2 linked regions of the Tamandua tetradactyla genome follow. The protein of the gene in region 2 purifies or fractionates together with the protein of the main gene of each other region. This does not show direct contact. Links are inferred from orthologs where the notes say so. Each region holds a gene or a part of one and is shown on either strand. Other genes may lie near its edges.

Region 1 (6,936 bases), on a different chromosome or scaffold from region 2:
GCCTATGAACTGTGAGTGCTTCTTCACCACTTCTTTGACCCGCCTCTCCTCTAAGTACTCAGTCTGGTCTTCTTTAAGGTGCAAGATCACTTTGGTACCCCGGCCAATAGGCTCCCCTAGAAAGTCAATCACAGTGGGGTATAAATAGTTGAGACTAATTGAAGAAATGTACTGAAAAAAAAACTGCTTTACCTAGAAGGTATCCCCAAAGAATTCTAACCCAGTCAACTTACCATGGTCAGCACGAACAGTGAAAGAACCCCCAGCGGAAGACTCCCAAGCATACTGTTCATCATCATTGTGCTTTGTGATCACAACCACTTTCTCTGCCACCAAGTAGGCAGAATAGAAGCCAACACCAAATTGCCCAATCATGGAGATGTCTGCACCAGCCTGCCAAAAAAGAATGTTTTAAAGTCAAACACCAGTTTAAAACGAAAGAAGCCAGGAAACATTTCAAAATGTAATGGTGGAGGGATGCATGGGTAGGTTCAGTGTTAGAGTTCTCACCTGCCATGCAGGAGACCCGGGTTCAATTTCTGGCCCACGCACAAAAAACCATGCTGTAAACAAACCCCCTATAGTATACATATTTGCCTCTCTACACATATGTATAAATATAGAAATACATACACATGAAGGAAAAAAAAAGTGTACGCCCTGATGTAATGTCCCATACCTGCAGTGCCTCCATAAATGCTTTGGTACCAGACTTGGCAATGGTTCCCAAATTATTTATGAGATCAGCCTTAGTCATGCCAATGCCTGTATCCACGAGAGTCAGGGTACGTTCCTGGGGGTTGGGGATGATGTCAATTTTCAACTCTTTACCACTGTCCAACTTGGAGGGGTCTGTCAGGCTCTCATAACGAATCTTGTCCAAAGCCTAAAAATAATCAGAGTAGTGACTTTAAGATTCTGTTCTTAAAACTCTCCTCTTCATCCAAAAGGAAACCCTTTAGTTTTCTACTCCCAAAACACCATCAATTCTGATTGCCACTTACCTTGAAGCTTAAAAACCACAGATTATTTACTAACTCTACCCCCAAGGTAGTCCCTTAGAGACCCTAAGCCCTCCCTTTTCTTTCAAACTAAAGACGGTCCACAGGGCAAACCTTTTTCCAAAACCTGCTGGTGTATCCCATTCAACAGTAGCCCCCACCAAATGTTAAACCACTGCCTTCCTTCGTTTTCTGGGATGCTAAAAGGAAAGAAAACACCAAATCCAGAGCACTCACATCAGAAGCATTAGAGATCAACTCCCGAAGGAAAATTTCCTTGTTAGAATAGAAGGTATTGATGATAAGAGACATAAGCTGGGCAATTTCTGCCTGGAAGGCAAAAGTCTCCACCTCTTCCTCTCCATGGTGCACTTCCTCCGGCATCTGCAGTAAGAATGATCCAGAATTAGAAAGAACATATTCATGTTGTCCTTGGAAATAAAACAGCGCATGCTTGGACCCATTATAGGCAATCTTTAGAGATTCACTTTTCAATTGTTTAAGATTTTATGTAAACAAAATTTGACTTATACAACCGTCTCAGCACGGAGTCCTATCCATTTCCAAGGGTCTAGAGAAGCCCTTCATAAAGACCAAGCAGCACCATGAGTAGCCAATCCAGGAAAAAAAATAAACAAGCATCCTTTAACAAGATGTACAATTTCTTTAAAGACATGTTTTAAGAACCCAGCTCCTCAGTAAGTGGTCCAAACATTAGCAGCTTCAGCATTACCTGGTGGTTTGTTAGAAATACAAAACAGGGTACCACCCCAGACCCTCTAGACTCTAATAAGAAACACAAGTAATCTTTACGGATACCTAAACGCCCAAAATCACTATTACCCTTTCTGTGGCAGAAAAAAAATAACAGTATGACTAGATTAAAGCTAAAACGACGTTGATTGGAAACTGCTTCCCATGAGGTATTATCTCGAGTCGTCAGCATATGGATTCACCCGGGACTAGGACAGCTGCCCACAAGGCGGGGAAGTCAACCCCTGAGGAACTATGGAGCACTCTCCATGGGGGACTGATGAGAGGCAAATCAGAAACAAAGAGCCGAGGTTAAAGCCCCGTGATCTTTAAGCACAGGTACCTGAGCCAAGCACAATTAAGATGGTGGCCGCAACTCGCCGGGCCGACCCTCGTCACTGCCGGACATGCGCCGGCCCGGGCCACACGAGGAGGGGGCGCCGCCGCGCAGCCTCCCTTCGCCCCAGCATCCAGACAACGGGGCGGGGCGCCGGCTTCCAGAAGCTTCCAGAACAATCCCACCTCTCGAAGAGCAGAGGGAGCCAATGGATCTTCCAGTCTGCCCCAATCCCTCTCTTTAATTCACATCCACCCCCGGCCTCCGCCGCGAGACGCAGGAAAGATCTGGAATCAGGAAACTAAGTACGACGGACCTCAAAAATCTGCAAGTGTTCTTTCCCGTCGCGAACCCTTTGACCAAAGCCCTTCAGGACAAGTGCGTCCTAAAGTACAGGTAGCAACACCTGGATGTGCTGAGTCATTCTTAACACGCACACCCACACCTCTTACCGACCCCTCCAGCACCTTGGAGTCGCGTCCGGAAGTGGAGGGACCAACATGGCAGCGTCCCTGGACGGCGCGGCCACCACGTGCGGCTGGGTGCCCACCACCCTGGTCCCAATCCGCGGCCCACTGAGCCCATGGCTATTCGCCACCCAGGGAAGCCCCACCACCAAAGTACAAGGGAAATGACAGGGAAAACTGTAGAAACCTCGGCCACTCCGAGAGAAATTACGAGGAGCCAAACCTCAAGGCTGCCACAAATAATTCTAAGATTTAAAAATGCCAAAAACGATGAAAACTCGAAGTGCTTGCGATTGAAAAGCCTGGAGTACGAGACCCCAACCTTACCTTGAAGAGAGCGAGCAGCAAGTACCAGGGAGCACAGCGGGCAGGGACGGTGTCCGACTCACACGCAAGATATAAGCTGCGTGGGGGTGACTCAAGAGAGCGGCTGGGCGCCCCCAGCAGCTTTATGTAAGGCGAAGCACAGCACTGCCGCCTGTCCCCGGATCCCTCCGCCTTAAAGGAGGATGTCCGTCAGCCGCGTACCTGCAGCCGCCCGCCCACCTTGACGTCATGGGCCAAAATAGGACAGGGGGCGCGTGCTTAGTCTCAGAATACAAATCCGTTGCACTTTTACTTGTGTTCACAGCCCCATTCCTGTAGCTCCAGGGCCGACCCACCCTCAGGATTAAATATTGGGAATGCTCAATTGGCCTAAACTGTGCATCTGGAGGGCGCCCCCTACAGACCAACTTTGGGCACACCTGTAGGTAGGCATACTCCTTGTAAAGCGAATTATTCGCTGGGCAGCAGAGGCAGAGACAGCTAACTACCTCAACCGCCACTCCCAGCCCCGACCTCTCTCTTAGAATCTGCCTTACACATCCCGACAGGGTAAGTGGGTTTTCTCTGAGGACCGAGAACTCGAGATGCAACTTTGAACACACCGCCTTCCCTTGCCCGGCCCTCCTGCGGACGAGCGGAAAGACCCGACTTGCCGCGGGCGGGGCTCCGTGGGGGAGGGGCCGGCTCACACAAGCAAGGCACTCTTTGCCGGTGCGCAGCGGAAGGAGCGGCGATAGTAGTGCTGCGATTCTTCCAGCAGTTTCCAGGCTCCTCTCGATGGCCCCACCCCTTCCCCTCGAGGCTCCACCCCGCCGGCTCTGGCTGGAGCGGTGTCTTTCTAGATCGTCGCGCTCTGCAGGCTGCTCTGCTGGACCTCACGGCGGGGCGTGGAGGTCCCCTACAGGCGGGATCCTCTTCTCCATTGCCCGGACCCAGCGGGCCCTGTATTGCCACGTGGGTGGGGTGGAGCGTGAAGGAAGTGATTGGTACCTGTCCTCCCCCAAGCACTCAGACGACACAGGCTGTCGGAGCCGCTCCCAATCTAAGGGACCCTTCCCGGCCGCCACAGCCCCTGCATCCGCCCACGTGCGCGGGGCGTAGCAACCTGCGTCCTCTATCCGGGCATGTCCGAGTGTTTTGCAGACTGGTTTCTTTCTTCCTTTCTTTTTTTTTTCTTGAGTCTTCTCGCCTCTTTCTGCAGTTGTCTGGACTTAAGGGTGGGGTCTCCGGGGACTCCTGGGAGGCCGCAAGAAGATGCAGGCCACTGGCCCACTCAGGCGGCCTAAACCAAATTGTTGCTCTTCAGCTGCGGTCCCGGAGCTCCCAGGTTGTCCGCCTGCCCAGCAGCCTGCGGACCGCCATACCTCGCCTGGTGTTGTCCCCTTTGCCTGCTCTTCCCACTGGCAAGCTCTGGGGAGCCTGCTGGACCCACAGCCCTTCCATGTGAGAACAGCCCTTCCCTGCTCTGTTCTCTGTAAATGCCCGGAATTCCTTTCCCAGCCTTCTTAGTCCACCCCTGGAATGTTGGGGGTGGTGTACCCCATCACCACTTGCAAGATCCTCCTACCTCCCCAGCCCTGGCGTCCCATCTTCCTTCCAGTTCCTAGTTCCTTTGTTGCATTCCAAAATGAGAAAAACTGCTGCTTAACTCTATCTTGTCCCACCTCCTCCTTTGAATCCTTGCCGCAGCCACTGTTATTTCATCTCTTCTTGCCCTTCTACTCCCCTTCCTTAGAAGCCTGTGATCTATTGGGGGGGGGGGGGCATGGGCACTGCTTTCCTGATGAAAATACAAAATGAAGAGCATCATCCCTCAGCACATCTCTCCCTTGGGCAGAGGGACCCTGCTTATTAAAAATCTCCGTGGTTGTCAGCATTCACAGTATCTCTCAAGGAGGTAAAGTAACTGCACCATTCTATGTATGGGGACTAGAGGCTTCAGAGACTTCACTGAAGCTCAGAGCCCTTACTCCACCAACTCTTCCCTCCTCCAAAAAGGGGTGGAGAATGCTGTATCTGGGAACCCAAGTCAAAAACTAACCGGGAGTTGCCCCCATGGATGGGCATTCCCTGAGCTGGACACCCACCCCCCTACCCACTCCTACTTCCAGCAGTGTCGGGATGGAAGCCCCCTCCAGGACTTCCCCCAAACGGGAATATCTCAAATCTTGCACCAGCACAGAAACTCCACCTTCTCCAGGGAGTATTCCAGGATGGCTTCCAATTGTCATCCCCATTTACTTAACAGTCATTGAGCCACCACTGTAAGCCTCACCTGGGAATGCACAGATAACAATGATAGGAGGACAAGGAGCACCCTGCCCAGTGGGGTTGCTGCAGCAGGCCATATGTGAAGGGGCATGGATGAGCAGTAGAGTCCCCCAGCTCAGTCTGGGAAAGAGACATGTTCAACAGTAATAGCTAGCCATGCCATGGCATAGGTCTACTCCTAGGAGACATAGAGCATAGAAAGGCAGAGTCCTGTTAAAGGGACCGTGATGAGGGAGGAGCCACAAGTGGCTCTGTAGGCAGGGGTCAGGTCACAATGGCCTGCAAACGCTGGGTTAAGGAGTGCTGAGATGAGTTTAAGGATGAGAAAAGACATTTAGAGAATTATAGGGCCTTAAAATTACTTGGGGTCTCTGAAAGCCTTATTCCCTTATGCAATGTGCAATGGACCCAGGATGATGTCAGCTTCCAATGCCCTCTGTTCCTGGTCAGGCCTCAGAGGCCTAGATCAGTCTTCTGCTGTTGGAGGGCGGCCGGCTACAGCAGGGGTCCACATGCTATGGCTGGCAGGCTGTGAGCCTTCTTGTTTTTGTACAGCCTATGAGCTAAGAATGGTGTTTATATTTTAAAATGGTTGTATAAAAACCAAAATTATATATGTATATGTATTTCAATTTGTATGCTGTATGGCGGGGTCACATTTCATTCTTTTTCCATGTGAATATCCTGTTATTGCAGCACCATTTGTTGAATTTTTGTTTATTTGTTTGCTTGCTTGTTTGTTTTAGGAAGTGCATGTGCTGGGAATCAAACCTGAGTCAAGAATTCTACCGCTGAACTATCCCTGTACCCTTATGTTCTAGTTTGCTAGCTGACAGAATGCAACACACCAGAAATGGATTGGCTTTTAATAAAAGGGGGTTTATTTCATTAATTCTTCAGAGGAAAGGCAGCTAACTTTCATCTGAGGTTCTTTCTTACATGGAAAGGCTTAGGGTAATCTCTGCTGGCCTTCTCTCCAGGCCTCTGGGTTCCAACAACTTTCCCCAGGATGCTTTCTTTCTGCATATCCAAAGGCCTGAACTGAGCTGAGCTGCGAGTGCCGAGATGAGGTATGCTGAGCTGCTTGGGCTGTGCTACGTTGAGCTCTCTCATTTAAGCACCAACCAAGTAAATCAAACATCATTCACTGCAGTAGGCACGCCTCCTAGCCGACTGCAGATGTAATGAGTAACAGATGTGGGTACCATTGGCTCATGTCCGCAGCAGCAGAACTAGGCACGTTCACCTGGCCAAGTTGACATCTGAACCTAACTACCACACCCTACAGCAAAATAATATGTTTGCCGTGAAAATTCAGATTTCAGAGTCCATAAATACTTTTATTGACATACAACCACACTCATTTGTTTACGTATTGTCTATGACTGCTTTGATGCTTTAACAGTGAAGCTCAGTAGTCCTGATAGAGACTGTAGGCCTCCAAAGCCTAAAGGAGTGCTTATGTCACCCTGTAGGGAACAACATTGCAGAACTAGGTAAAAGTTTGTTCTAGATAAATCCAAGTGAAGTCTGGCAGGAGGCATGGAGACTCAGCCTGGGCTGAGGCCTACTGCTGCTGCTCAACTGGAAATTGTCACGCAGCTGCAGGGGAGCATCCTGAGATAAGGTAAAATGGGTGGATGAAACTACCCAGGGCATCAAGATGGCAGCTCTCGCCCCTTAATCCCCAGAGCCAGTGACTTCTCAAGCTTGGCACCCACCCACTATATCCTGTCACTGTCCAAGCTGCCTGGGGCCTCTCTAGCCCCAGGAGGTTTAG
Region 2 (7,167 bases):
TCCCAGGGCTCAAGCCTTTAACCTTGTCTCTATGTACACTTGCTCCTTAGGTGATGTCAACCTATTTAGTGGCTTTAAATACACCTATAATTGACAATTTCCAAGTTTCCCTCTCTAGTTCTGATCCTCTCCTGAACTCTGTACTCACATACCCAAATGCTACTCCTTGACAATTCACTACTTAGATGTCTACATATCCAAACACCTGGCTCAATTTCCCCCAGTTGGCCCCAGCTTGTTCCTCCCTCAGTCCTCCCAGTCTTGGGAAGTGGCACCACCACCCACTCAAAGGTTCAAACCAGCAACTCGGGACCCATCCTAGAGATCTTGCTTCTCCTATTATCCCACTTCCATGCCATTATGATATCCCATTAAACTTTACCTTCAGAATATATCCAGAAACCACGGCTGTTCATTAAACCTACTACAGCCTGCCTGCCTGAGCTAACACCATCACTTGCATATGAGCTAACATCATCACTTGCATACATTATTGCAATAATATCCCTATATGTGGTAAATAGGATAATGCCCCCCCCAAATAAAAAAAGAGATCCACACTTTAATACCAGAAACCTGTGCTTGTTACTGTATTTGGTAAAAAAAAAAAAAAGGACTTTGCAGATCTGATTATGATTATGATTGAGAAGGGGATATTATCTTGGATTAATAGGGCGGACCTGAAATGCAATCACAGTGGCCTTATAGAGACAGGCAGAGGGAGAGCTGACAGACAGAAAAGGAGAAGTCAAGGTGGCCTTGGAGGCAGAGATGGGAGTGATGCAGCAGGACGTGAAGATGTGCTGAAGTGCCCTACAGATTGGACTCTGGAGGGAGTGCAGCCCCTGCCGACACCCTGATTTCTGCCCAGCAAAAATGATTTCAGGCTTCTGGTCTCCAGAATTGTGAGAGAATAAATTTCTGTTTTAAGGCACCGAGTTTGTGGTAATTTGTTACAGCAGCCACAGGAAACTAACATATCACTGCCTCCCTGCTTCTACCTTTATCCCTTATAATCTCTCTGCAATTAAGCCAAAGGGAGTCTTTTAAAATGTAACTCAGATCATATGACTTTGCTGCTCAAAACACTCCAGGGACTTCTCATCACACCTAGAATTAAATCCAGTCTTTTCCGCAGTGTAGGAGATTTCCATGTGACCTCTCTCTGTGTCTGCCTTGTCCTCCACTGCTCTCACCCTTACTGCACACCAGCCACCCTGGCTTTCTTGCTATCCCTCAAATACACTTGCTGCCCTCTAGACTCCAGCCCCTTGCACTTATCTCCCCCTCTACCTAGAATGCTTTTTCCCCAGACATCTGCGTGGCTGGCTTCCACTGACACACCAGTGAGGTCTCTGCTCAAATGTCATCTCTTCAGAGGGGTCTTTTCTGATTACAGGGAACCAACCATCCTGGTTTCTCTGTGACTGAGGGTTTTTTCCCCAGGATGTGGGAATCACTGCACCACCTATCACTCTCTGACACCTTATCATGCAGGTGAAAATTATGTGCTCATTTTCTATCTCCCTCAACTAGAATGTCAGCTTCATGAGGGCAGGGTCTTTCTTCACCATTATAGAACAGGGCCTGGAATATAGTAGGTGCTCAGTACATATTTGATTAATGAATCAAAGGATGAATTGATAATTATGGTACATTTATACAATAAAATATTACCCAACCAAAAGTGATGCGTGAGCCTATATTAGTAGAAACGGGAACACATATATGATACACTGTGAAGTAAACAAGCAGCTTTCAAAATGGTAAGTATGCCAGGGTACCATCTTGTAAAAGAAAAAAAGACATGCATGCAACTGTACATTTGTGTATAAGCACAGAAAAAATGGCAGGGGGATCATGACCTGAGGTGACAGCACGTATCTTAGGTTAGCTTATTTTCATTTTTATCTTTCTACTATGGTATGAAATGTCTCAAGATGTTGCTATTCAGGAAATATACTAAGACTGGATGGGAACTTTGACGTAGCCAATGCTCACCACCAACTCTACCTCATCACCTTGACTATGACCCCCATACCTGAGCCATCTCTCAGTGCCTAAGGCTTATCTCTCCTGCACCACTGTCTTGTGATTTCCTGGACAGGAGTGGGGCATCAACACCTTCCCCTGACTCTTCCAACCTGTAGAGGACCCTGTGACCTCCCAGGGGAAATTTCAAGCCCCTCCAAGAGCCCTCAAGGCTGCTCCTCCCCCTAACTTGCCTCAGCCTAGATTTGCATCCCTCTCCCCTTCACTACAAAGACCTGCTTACATCAAACTGGACTTGCTGGCTGGGATGTCACACAGTGCTCTCCTTAGAACACTTCCCCAATCAGTTTGGTCTACTTGGCTAGCCCTTTCCATCTGTCCTCATTTGCTTTCCTGGAACCCTTGCCAGAGCAGCTCCAGATCCCATGTACCCTTGCTCCCATCTTTGAACTCGCTTCTTTTGTACTTGCCATCATGCTATGATAATTCATTTACATACATGCTGGCACCCAGTGCCTACCACTGCCTGCCAAGTCAAGTGCCAGCAAGATCTTATTTTAATCCTATACCCCATGGGATAGGCACTGTCATTAACCCTCTTTTTAAGAGGAGTAAACTGAGGCTTGGAGAGGTGAAGTGACTTGATCAAGACAAATAGCTAATAAATGATATAACAGGAATTCGAACCCAGGCAGTCTTACTCCAAAGCCTGTGGCCTAGAATTTCAGGAAGAAGTTAGGATGGAATGAAATTAGTGGGAAGGAAGAGAAGCTGTTAAGTTGGTTAGTTCGGAAGGAAGCAAATTAAGTAACTGGAAAGGCAGAAAGTTAATTAGTTGGGAGAAAAGGCATGGAGAGAACAGAAAGGAGTTAGAAGGGAGAGAGTCAGGAAGAAGTTAGCTGACCAAGTAGTCAGTTTGGCAGACTGACATGCCAGCTGGCAGGTGTCCTGTTCACAGCTGAGCCTCTTACCTGAAAACTCTGGGTCCCAGCTCAGGTCCTGTGGAGAAGCCCCAAGCATGGCTCTGCCCTCCTCTGTCTCTGCATGGTCCTTCTGACCTGAAACCCAATCCTGACTTCTCCAGCAACCTTCGCACTTAAGAATGACCTGTCACTCACTTCCCAACCTGGCTTCCACCTCTCTCTTCCAGTCCTGCTGGCTGGGAGCTGGCTTCGGAGCCTTCCAGTTACTAATTAACGGCTGGACTTGAAATTACAACGCTGGCTGCGCCCAATGGCTCCTAGAAGGGCCCTGCCCTGGGGACCCTTCGGATATTTTAAAGCTACTGCACAACATAAGTTTTGTGACCTTGGGCAAGTGACTTGGGTCCCTGAGCCTCAAGTGAATTGGTGATGATGGTGTGTCTCCTGCCTTAAAAGGAGGATCTCTGAGGTCCCTTTCAATGCTGTCATGTGTTTCCATTCTCTGAAATCCTTCCCCAAGCTCAAAGGCTGACTACCTTAACTGCAGGAATTAAATCATTTTCCCTTTTTCATAAAACCAAGAGACCTGAGAGGGTTCATCTCACCCAGCTCTCTTCCCTGGTCTCTCCCTGATGGGGGCCTGTTCTTGGACACGTTCTCTTTTGTTGTCCCTTCAGAGATGGGCAGCTCATTCTCTCTTGAGCCTGCCCCATTGCCTGACATCTCTGGTAGGTCTCTGCTTTTTTTTTGTTTTGTTTTGAGTCAAAGCCTGCCATCCAGAGCTCTCCTGCTTTGCACTCCCCTAGGTAAAGACTCATTGCTGAGTCTAGATCCACTTCCCATTGTGTCATTCGGAGACCTGACACTCAGGAACCAGGGCTCAGCTCTTTCCAGCTCATACGGAAGGCAGGCTTTTTCATGGTTGACCCAAATCTGCCCAGACCAAGGGTTCTAACTTAGGGTAGATGCAGGGTCTGGTCTGAAAGATAGATGAGAAAGACATTGCTCAATGATCCCCTTTTAGTGGGCAACTCAGAAGTTGACTTTCACACTACTTTCTCTGCTGCCTTTCCATTAACATTTCAACAACTTTCTGATCATTCTAGTGCCTTAAAAAACTGGCTGATTTAATGTGCTCTTGGGAGAGATGCATTGCCACACCTCCTACCTCCACCAACCCTAGCAAAATGCGTCTAGCCCCAGGCTGAGAGGGGAGGTGGCTGGCCCAAGTGCACAGGGCAAATGAGGGTACAGCCCTGGGTTCGGATCCTTTTCAGAGCTGCTAGCTGCACCAAGCTCCTCTGCCTCTGCATTCCCAAAACTGGTTTAAATACACACAACATACACACAATGGTATCTTATAATCGGTATCAAATAATTCCAACATACAGAAGATTGTGAAATAAAAGGTGAAATTTCTCCCCAATCCACCTTCAATCTCTTTTCCAGAAGTAACTGCTGTTAACTAAGTGGTGACTATTCTTGTAGACTTTTGTCTATACCTAATTCACATACTTTCTTTTCTAGGAAAATGAGCCACACTATACATATTGTTCAGTAACTCACTTTTTCTCATTTTAACACATCTTTCCATGTCAACACACAGATTCAAATTTTTTTTCAGCTGCTGCATCATATTCCATAGTGTTGGACTTACTGTGATTGCTTCTGCTGTTCCTCAGCTGACGGACACTGAGGCTGTTTCCAGTTCCACAATACTTCAACCAGTGCTGCAGAGAACATCTTCACATTAATACCTGTGGGTCCTTGCGCTAATAGTTCTGATAAACTCCTGTAAGTGGGAGTGCTGAGTTAATTTTGTCACTCTCTAAAAATGTGTACCATTGACATGGCTACCACCAGGGTTTGGCCTTCCCCTCAACGATGCTCAGGAAATGGCTATGCGACTCTTGCAATGAAACCACTGCAGAAATGCCACCCCTGCCCAACTTCCTCTCTTCTTTCTTTCTTTACCCTTCTCCCTGCCTCCTCCTCTCTCAACTGGCTGGGTTCTGTTGTTTGGTTATGAAGGTTGAAGAAATGTTCTCAGGGATGGGAAGGGGATAGCAAGAGACTGAACCAATAGGAACCCACCTCCATGAATATTCCTTCCACCTTGACATTCCTCGGCCTCCTTTTCCATCCATTATCTGGCTCTCATCCCTACTCCCACCTGCCCATGCCTTCCATACCTGCAGATTCATCCATAGCAGAGGGAGCACCAGGTACAGGGTCAGTAGAGAAAAATCTGTTACTCACATGGGCTGGAGTAGCACAGGCTTGGGTCCAGACACAGGTCTCCAATTTTCTTTTTGAAAAAAAAAAGGTAGATTGTTTTTAGAAAGTGCCAAGTTACAAAATTTTAAAAATGAAATAGGATTACCAGGTAGAGAGTGAAAAGGATCAGTTCCTTGCTCCATTCTTCAACTCTTCTAGCTGTTTCCTTTGGTAACATTTCCAAATGTCTAAACAGCATGATTCCACTACATTCCTTGATCTTTCCTTTTTTTTTTTTCTTTTATAAACTTTTTTTTATTATTTTTTTTTTGATCTTTCCATTTTAAAACTGAAAGTGGCTTCCTACTATAGAACATGGGCATTTACGTCTAGCCCATCCACACACACACTTGTTTAAACTTTTGCTTTTAATTAATAACTGCCTCATTTAATGGTTTGATATCTACATAAATGCTCTGGTAGAGCTAAAAATAGCCTCTTACTGTATTATGTGTCCATTCTGTTTTTGTCCTTCCTGGAGTCTTCCATCCTATTTTCATCTGCCCTGGCCAGGTATTAGCCTGGCCCTTCTTTGCCCCATCACACTAGAAATTCCCTTTCTCTGTCTTTGTTGCATCTCCAGGTTCCGGGATCCTATGTCTTCCTCTTTTTTTTAAATTTGCTCTCTTATTTTGGTGGAGCGGATCCTCCAATAGCTGCCTGAGGAAAGGTGCACGGGAGATAACTTTTTTTTTTTTTTGGGAGATAAATTTTTGAGACCTTTTATGTTTTTAAATATTCTACCTTCACACTTGATAATTTGGCTGGGTACAGAATTCTCGGGTGGAAATATCTTTTCCTTCAGAATTATTAAGGCAGTGTTCCATCGTCTTTTTATCACAGTGCTGCTACTGGGAAGTCCAGTGCTATTCTGATTCATGTTCTTTTGGATGAGACCTGATTTCTTCTGTCTGGAAGCTTTCAGGATTTTCATTTTCTGATTTTTCTGACATTTCACAGTAATATAACTGGGTGTGATTCCTTTCACATCCATCGTGCTGGGCACTTTCCATGACCTTTCAGTTTGGAGAACAGTGTCCCTCAATTTTGTGAAATTTCTTTTTTTCAAAAAAGTTAATTTTGACCTTGATTTTCTTTCTTATTAAGAATTCCTGCTAGTTGTATACTGGACCTCCAAACTCGTCCTTGAGGTTTTCATAACCATTCTTTCCCATTTTTTATCTTTTTTATCCTACTTCTATGGGATATCCTTAACTTTATCTTTCAATCCCTGTGTTGATTTTATTCTGCAACCATATTTTAAATTCCCAAGAGCCCTTTCTTGTCTCTCAGTGCTCCTTTTTCATATATCTGACATGGCTGGTAGAGGTTAGCTTCTGTCAAGTAGAAGGGTAAACTCTCCCACTGTAAACAGAAGGAAAGAGGGAAGGGTGGATGTGGGTGGGAATGGACTTTGCAGATGTGTTAGGAAGCCACCCTTCTGATGAGTTCCATTTTCTTTGTGGCATAGGTGGGAGGGCATCTATAGAAATGATGGGGGAGGCATGTGGGTAGGAGGTTTGAGGAGCCTGAACAGAAGAGTCAGTGCTGACCCAAAAAATAGCTACTTTCTGGGCAACCGTGAGGGTTCACATTGAAGCTAGAGACTATTCATCTACACAGCCCCAATCTGCTCAGCCTAAGCAGCAGGTCAAGGTGTGGAGAAGATGGGCTTGTGGACAGCCCCACGGGGGGTAATCTTCTAGCCAAGTAGTCTAGAAAGGCAGCAGGACAAAGCAATTAAGGGTATTGACCAAAAAAAGTGGCTGAAGTGGTCAAATGTGGCATTTCTGTCACTTTTCCATCTCCTTACAAACTCTAGGAACCTTCAGAAGTTCTATCCATTCAACTTGGCCATTTCCCTGCCAGAAAATTTGGGATTATTTTAAAAACGGGAAACTTCATTGAATATTCCGGCCTTGACCATTTATTAAGATGTCAAGGATCAAGCTGGTTTTCACAGTCTTCTCTGGGG

The links. The genes of interacting proteins can lie anywhere in the genome.
Region 1: the proteins of SGK2 (region 2) and HSP90AB1 purify together in Homo sapiens (affinity purification with mass spectrometry; 3 studies listed by BioGRID and IntAct, with this or other methods). This does not show direct contact. The link is inferred for Tamandua tetradactyla from reciprocal best matches to the Homo sapiens genes SGK2 and HSP90AB1.

Annotation. Positions count from the first base shown.
Region 1 is NC_135331.1:101,858,294-101,865,229, reverse strand, and holds the start of HSP90AB1 (heat shock protein HSP 90-beta), read right to left. Parts: upstream 3,018-6,936; 5' UTR 2,886-3,017; intron 2,204-2,885; exon of another isoform or gene 2,098-2,203; intron 1,386-2,097; coding exon 1,239-1,385; intron 887-1,238; coding exon 680-886; intron 394-679; coding exon 234-393; intron 117-233; coding exon 1-116. UniProt on the Homo sapiens protein: Molecular chaperone that promotes the maturation, structural maintenance and proper regulation of specific target proteins involved for instance in cell cycle control and signal transduction. Undergoes a functional cycle linked to its ATPase activity.
Region 2 is NC_135327.1:8,599,992-8,607,158, forward strand, and holds the start of SGK2 (serine/threonine-protein kinase Sgk2), read right to left. Parts: upstream 3,075-7,167; 5' UTR 2,964-3,074; intron 1-2,963. UniProt on the Homo sapiens protein: Serine/threonine-protein kinase which is involved in the regulation of a wide variety of ion channels, membrane transporters, cell growth, survival and proliferation.